2 linked regions of the Arabidopsis thaliana genome follow. The protein of the gene in region 1 interacts with the protein of each later gene in a biochemical or structural test. Each region holds a gene or a part of one and is shown in the gene's direction. Other genes may lie near its edges.

What was found. Proteins that work in one complex are often made in the same cells at the same time.
Region 2: the proteins of GH9A1 (region 1) and CESA1 form a complex in vitro, tested with the Arabidopsis thaliana proteins (one study listed by BioGRID).

Annotation. Positions count from the first base shown.
Region 1 is NC_003076.8:20,198,365-20,202,117, reverse strand, and holds the start of GH9A1 (glycosyl hydrolase 9A1), read left to right. Parts: upstream 1-1,649; 5' UTR 1,650-1,949; coding exon 1,950-2,322; intron 2,323-2,400; coding exon 2,401-2,711; intron 2,712-2,784; coding exon 2,785-3,249; intron 3,250-3,365; coding exon 3,366-3,501; intron 3,502-3,602; coding exon 3,603-3,753. Other genes in the region: FRO6 (ferric reduction oxidase 6), read left to right, coding at 1-391, 594-763. UniProt on the Arabidopsis thaliana protein: Required for cellulose microfibril formation. Involved in cell wall assembly during cell elongation and cell plate maturation in cytokinesis. Required for secondary cell wall formation in the developing xylem.
Region 2 is NC_003075.7:15,645,111-15,648,863, reverse strand, and holds the start of CESA1 (cellulose synthase 1), read left to right. Parts: upstream 1-2,019; 5' UTR 2,020-2,475; coding exon 2,476-2,556; intron 2,557-3,083; coding exon 3,084-3,279; intron 3,280-3,377; coding exon 3,378-3,550; intron 3,551-3,753. Other genes in the region: AT4G32420 (Cyclophilin-like peptidyl-prolyl cis-trans isomerase family protein), read left to right, coding at 1-730, 817-885, 1,011-1,314. UniProt on the Arabidopsis thaliana protein: Catalytic subunit of cellulose synthase terminal complexes ('rosettes'), required for beta-1,4-glucan microfibril crystallization, a major mechanism of the cell wall formation. Involved in the primary cell wall formation.

The DNA of each region.
Region 1 (3,753 bases):
GGATGTTCTATGTCGGTACTAGTTGGTACAGGGGATAACATATGGTCTGGACTCTATCTAATTATATCCACCATTGGATTTATTTCAATGATCACATTGTTGGACATCTTTTACATAAAAAGATACAACATAACAACGTGGTGGTACAAGGGACTTCTATTTGTTGGTTGTATGGTTGCAAGTGTCTTGATTTTTGGAGGTCTTGTGGTTGTTTTCTGGCATCGCTGGGAACACAAAACCGGTGAAGTGGAAGCAAATGGCAACGACAAGGTAGATTTGAATGGAGAAGAAACCCATAATCCATCTGCAGCAGAGCTTAAGGGCTTGGCAATAGAAGAAGATGTCCAGAATTACACCACTATTCGTTATGGCACCAGACCGGCCTTTAGAGGTATACACTACAAAATTAGCGGTGTCAAGTCCAGTTATCTCGTTTTTTTATTTATAAAATTATAGAAACTGAAATCATTCGGAACGGTTTGACACGGTTTCGTTCGGTTCTTGAATCCGACTTTTGGTGTAGATATTTGGCTCGATTCGGTTAAGTTAAATCTTTGATTGGTTCATGTAATATTTTTATTTTGTAATTGCAGAGATATTTGAGTCATTGAATGGGAAATGGGGGAGTGTGGATGTTGGAGTGATAGTATGCGGTCCAGCGACTCTTCAGACGACCGTAGCCAAAGAAATACGGTCACATAGCATCTGGCGATCGGCGAATCATCCTCTTTTCCACTTCAACAGCCACAGTTTCGATCTCTAACGATGCTTTCAAGGCCAAAGAACATTATGGAAGGAAATTCGAAGACAAATTGATGCATATATTTTAGGTAATCTCTGTCAGTATGTACTATGGAAACAGCTATGGTTGATATGTGTATGTTTATCTTTCAGTTTTCGATGTATAAAGTAGAAATCAAATGTATGAGCATCTATGGTTTCTAGTTCTACACTTGTTGGTGTTTCTACATTGGACATTTAATATTAATTAAATGCAAGCTGATAAGTCCTATAATTACATAGCTGCCCATATATTTTCGGAATTTTTTAAAGTAGAGATATATTCATATATATATGAGGGATTAGATTCTATAATTACGAATGTATTTAATTTCAAATTAAAAGTTAGATTCTCATAATTCTCCTTACTTACTCTGTGAGGGATTAGAGTCGTAAAAATGACCACAAGATGTAATTTTTTTTTAGGTCATTGATCTACCATCAATTTGTCGGACACACTTATCTTATAAGTTTTAAATTTTAACAAATGTAAGTGAAATTTTGTGGTAGACTATCATTTTCAAGTAGAAGTAGAATTTAAGTAACCTTCCTTGTTATAATTTTTTTTTAAAAATTATGTCATTACTTAGAGCCCACCAGAAATGATGACGTGTAAAACACCATAATCATAAAGGATAAAATAAAATTATCATCCCACCGACAGTTTATTAGCGGAGATGTCTTTTTCCATCCACCCGACATTAGCCCATTGCTTTACTAGTAAACAAAGTATATGCAATTTTTTGTTAGAAAAAACGGTGCATAAAAAATAATATTTTAATGTCTCCGACAAATTTTAATTGTATGAAAAATAAATACACAAGATTACAAGTTGGCCAAAACGCTCAATCATAGTTGGCCAAAAATATACTATTCCAAAATTAGAGTTAGCTGTAACGTAACATGTACAAATAAACCAAACAAAACATATAATAACAAAATAATTGAAGTGAGTTTTAAAAAGGAAAAAAAAAAAAGAGTAAAAAACCAAAACCAGATCTCTCAAAGAGTCTTTGTACATTATTGACTAGAGAGAGCTTTTTAGCTTCACATTTCTTCACTTCCACACACTTTTACTTCTTTCTCTCTTCTCTTCTCTTCTCCAGATCTGATCCCAAACCTTTGATTCATTGTTGTTGTTCTCTGCTGCTTTATCAGAGAGCATCATCATGTACGGAAGAGATCCATGGGGAGGTCCATTGGAGATAAACACTGCAGATTCCGCCACCGACGATGATCGTAGTCGGAATTTAAACGATTTGGATCGTGCGGCTCTTTCACGTCCACTAGATGAGACGCAGCAGAGTTGGTTACTTGGTCCAACGGAGCAGAAGAAGAAGAAGTACGTCGATCTCGGTTGTATTATCGTTAGCCGCAAGATCTTCGTCTGGACTGTTGGTACTCTTGTTGCCGCCGCGTTACTCGCCGGATTCATTACCTTGATCGTTAAAACTGTGCCGCGTCATCATCCTAAGACTCCGCCGCCGGATAATTATACTATAGCTCTACACAAAGCTCTTAAGTTCTTCAATGCTCAGAAATGTAAGTGTAGAATCTACTTAGATCTGATAAAATTTAGATATAGAGTTTTAGATCTAAGTCTGATTTTGATTGTTGTAGCTGGGAAATTGCCAAAGCATAATAACGTGTCATGGAGAGGTAATTCTGGGCTTCAAGATGGGAAAGGTGAAACAGGAAGCTTCTATAAAGATTTGGTGGGAGGTTATTATGATGCTGGTGATGCTATCAAGTTCAATTTCCCCATGGCTTATGCTATGACTATGTTGAGCTGGAGTGTTATTGAATATAGTGCTAAATACGAAGCTGCTGGTGAGCTCACTCATGTTAAGGAGCTTATCAAATGGGGAACTGATTACTTTCTCAAGACTTTCAATAGTACTGCTGATTCCATTGATGATCTTGTGTCACAGGTACTTGTTTATGACCTTCGTAGGAGATCTTTCATATTGAGTTGTTTGTTCACTCGTTACATGTTTAATGTAGGTTGGATCAGGGAATACTGATGATGGAAATACAGATCCTAATGACCATTACTGTTGGATGCGACCTGAGGATATGGACTATAAAAGGCCCGTGACTACTTGTAATGGTGGATGTTCGGATCTCGCTGCAGAGATGGCAGCTGCTCTGGCTTCAGCATCTATTGTATTCAAGGATAACAAGGAATATTCTAAAAAGCTTGTCCATGGTGCTAAGGTGGTGTATCAGTTTGGAAGGACGAGGAGAGGGAGATATAGTGCAGGCACTGCGGAATCTAGCAAGTTCTATAATTCAAGTATGTATTGGGATGAGTTCATTTGGGGTGGTGCTTGGATGTATTATGCTACCGGAAATGTAACGTATCTCAATCTAATCACCCAACCTACTATGGCCAAGCATGCTGGTGCCTTCTGGGGTGGCCCTTACTATGGTGTATTTAGCTGGGACAACAAGCTTGCTGGTGCTCAGGTCAGTCCACACATAACAACCTGCTGTGTTTATGTTTCTTAGATATTCATGTCTTCTTGATCATTTGCCTTAACCATACTACTCTTGACTCTTTTGAATCCCTTTTGCGATTTTAGTTGCTGTTGAGCCGGTTGAGGTTGTTTCTGAGTCCTGGATATCCATATGAAGAAATTCTAAGGACCTTCCACAATCAGACCAGCATAGTCATGTGCTCATACTTGCCTATTTTCAACAAATTTAACAGAACCAATGGTTAGTTACCTTCCAGCTTTAATGTCTGCCTCTAATAAAACTCCAACTGTGGGGCTTGTTCTTGTTTCAGATATCTAAAATGAAATCTTTGGTATGTGCAGGAGGTTTAATAGAGTTGAATCATGGAGCTCCACAGCCGCTGCAATATTCTGTAAATGCAGCTTTCTTAGCGACTCTATACAGTGATTATCTGGATGCTGCTGATACTCCTGGATGGTACTGTGGACCTAATTTCTATTCGACAAGTGTGCT
Region 2 (3,753 bases), on another chromosome or scaffold:
GTTTAAGCAGAAGTCCACTGAGGAGCCCCAAAAGGGTCATCAGCAGAAGTCCAGTGAGAGGTAGGATTGCCAGAAGCCCTAGCCGGAGTCCTGTAAGATCTGCATCTCGTGGAAGCCTTGGGAGGGGCCCACTAAGAAGATCGTCAAGAAGATCACCTAGCAGAAGTCCAGTTCGATCTTCTAGAAGAAGCCTGAGCCGGAGTCCTATTCAATTATCTAGAAGAAGTCTGAGCCGGAGTCCCACTCGATTGTCTAGGAGAAGCCTAAGCCGGAGTCCCATTCGATCACCTAGGAAGAGTGTGAGCAGGAGTCCAGTCCGATCATCTAGGAAGAGTGTGAGCAGAAGTCCGGTTCGTTCATCCAGGAGACGTATCAGCAGGAGTCCAGTCCGATCATCTAGGAAGAGTGTGAGCAGGAGTCCTATTCGATTGTCCAGAAGAAGTATCAGCAGGAGTCCTATTCGATTGTCCAGGAGAAGTATCAGCAGGAGTCCTGTTAGAGGAAGAAGAAGAATTAGCAGAAGTCCAGTTCCGGCAAGGAGAAGGAGTGTGCGGCCTAGATCTCCTCCTCCTGACCGCAGAAGAAGTTTGTCAAGAAGTGCTTCTCCTAATGGGCGCATAAGGAGAGGGAGAGGATTTAGCCAAAGATTCTCATACGCCCGTCGATACAGAACTAGTCCATCTCCTGATCGATCTCCTTATCGCTTTAGTGATAGGAGTGACCGTGACAGGTGAATAGCCCACACATAATATAACTCCCCCTTTCTGTTACACACTCTCGTACTGAACCGTCTTTTTTATAACGTCTTCTCTGTAGATTTAGAAGTCGCAGAAGGTTCTCGCCAAGTCGGTTCAGAAGCCCACTAAGAGGAAGAACACCTCCAAGGTACTTATCCTCTTTAGTACATTGTTTCAGCTGATTCTTTACATCTAAAAGTTTCATGAATATGGAACTAAAATTGGTGATCCAAAAGAATTATTCTTGATTTCACAACTCGAAAGTATGCTCAGGTATAGAAGAAGAAGCCGCTCAGTATCGCCTGGTCTCTGTTATCGCAACCGGCGGTACAGCCGCAGCCCTATCCGTAGCCGATCTCCACCTTACAGAAAGAGAAGGTCACCATCCGCTAGCCACAGCCTGAGTCCATCGAGGTCAAGATCAAGATCAAAGTCATATTCAAAATCTCCCATTGGGACGGGGAAAGCAAGATCAGTGTCAAGATCACCATCCAAGGCAAGGTCTCCATCGAAGTCGGATTCGACATCCTCGGATAATAGCCCAGGTGGGAAAAAGGGATTAGTAGCCTATGATTAATGAATAATGATTACCCTTAAGTTAAGTGTTTGTTCTTTTTACTGAGAAGAGATGGTAAAGAGAGTAAGTAGTTTACTTCTGTAAAACATAAGCATTGTCTTTTGCGTATGTTTGTTTGATTATGCTCCAAGATTGTTAAAAATTTCTGTTGATGTTTGCCGACATTTTTTCTTTGTTGCCATTTGCCGACAAATGTTAACTTCCATTATTCGTTGCGGAGTTGGTTTTGGTCCAATAATTAAACTTTCATAAAATTAAGCATAACTAAATGTGACGTTTGTCACCAAACTTTAGAACAACGACATCGTAATTTATTTATTTGGATAATCAATATAATTTACGATTTCTTCCTACATATATATCATATCACTATACCACCGTCATTATCACTATCACTAAATATAAAAATGTTAAAATGATTTCTTAATGGAATTTTTTTTGTTAAAAGTTTATTGACACAAAAAATGAATTAAAACTCAGAAATCTGTATACTGAATTAAAACTTGTAAATATAACAACAAAATGGGATTAAAAAAAGAAGTGGCATCCATTTAAAAATTATTTGCGAATTCGCCCGTAACTTCTTAAGCTAACAATTAGAACCTAATCAACACTAGTTATTTTGAGTCCACCGACAGGTGATAGCAAATAAAAAAGAACAGGCTGGTACCAGAGCCAACAACAACGTGGCTTCTTCTTTTTTTTTTTTAATATAATCAAACAATCATACTTTGTCCTATCTCTTTCTTGCAATAAGATTTTGCCACGTCACATACTAAGAAGCTGGCGCGTCTAGTGGGGAAGCCAGAACGGCTCACTTTAAAAAGTAGAGAGATGATAACTTGAGCCGAATAGAGCCGAGCTGAGCTAAAACGGTGGGAGAGGAAGAGGCTACTACTACCGTCACCATCTCCGGTAAAATAATGTACTTGTCATTTAAAAATTAAGAAAAAACACATCACTCTGCGATAAAATAGGCAAAAGCAGATTTGAAGAAGAAGCAGCTTGAGATATCAAATAGAGAGAGAGAGTGACAGAGGAGTGTGTGAACATCCTTTTTTAGTAGATTTGGGTTTTCGAGATGCCGTATTGAATCGGCTACGAATTTCCCAATTTTGAATTTTGTGAATCTCTCTCTTTCTCTGTGTGTCGGTGGCTGCGATGGAGGCCAGTGCCGGCTTGGTTGCTGGATCCTACCGGAGAAACGAGCTCGTTCGGATCCGACATGAATCTGATGGCGGGGTCTGTTCATCTTCCCTTTTTCCCATTTTTTTGTTATTGTTTTTCGTTCTTACAATTTTTGATGTGTAGATCTCATCTAGATTTCTCTGTTTCTAAATCTCGTCTCTTTTGGATCCATAATTGGATCATTGAAACTCAGATTTCGCTTCCTTTGACTGTGTAGTTAGTTAGTGTCAGTTGATCAAGTAAGTGTCTGAAAATGGAAACTTTTCTGCTCCAATTCTTCAAATTGTTGTGATCTATATCAATTAATGCCGCATCTGTTTTCTTAAAATCTCTTATGGAAAGTGTCGGTGGATTTCAGTTCGTTAACTTTTTTAAGCTAAAATCTTTGACTCTTAAAGTTTAGCTTTACTTATTGAGATTTAGCTCAACTAGATCTCGTTAGTTCCCGCCATGGGATACAGACTGTGACTCGCCTTAATTCAGATCTGCATTGATTGTTTTGATTTAGATCCTTGCTCATCTCTTTCTGTAGTTTCTAATACTCAATGACTAACAATGATGCAATGTTGGTCAAAGTGCAGACCAAACCTTTGAAGAATATGAATGGCCAGATATGTCAGATCTGTGGTGATGATGTTGGACTCGCTGAAACTGGAGATGTCTTTGTCGCGTGTAATGAATGTGCCTTCCCTGTGTGTCGGCCTTGCTATGAGTACGAGAGGAAAGATGGAACTCAGTGTTGCCCTCAATGCAAGACTAGATTCAGACGACACAGGGGTCAGTTGTCTTTTTCTTTTTGTTGGCAATTGCTATATATGGATTTTCTCTTTTTGTTTCTTTGCTGTTGTGTTGAACAATTTTTTGGAATTTTCCAGGGAGTCCTCGTGTTGAAGGAGATGAAGATGAGGATGATGTTGATGATATCGAGAATGAGTTCAATTACGCCCAGGGAGCTAACAAGGCGAGACACCAACGCCATGGCGAAGAGTTTTCTTCTTCCTCTAGACATGAATCTCAACCAATTCCTCTTCTCACCCATGGCCATACGGTAGGGACCTACATTTTCCCTTTAGACTCTAGAGTGATTTGTATTACTCAATAAATCCCTAGAGTGGTCATTTATTACTTACTATTCACGTTAATGTTATATGTGAACAAATCTTAACAGAATTTTTTTCTGATAGTACATGGTCATCCAAATTAAGAAATAATAATAGATGTTGTTAGTTGTGTCTGTTTTCAATAGATTCA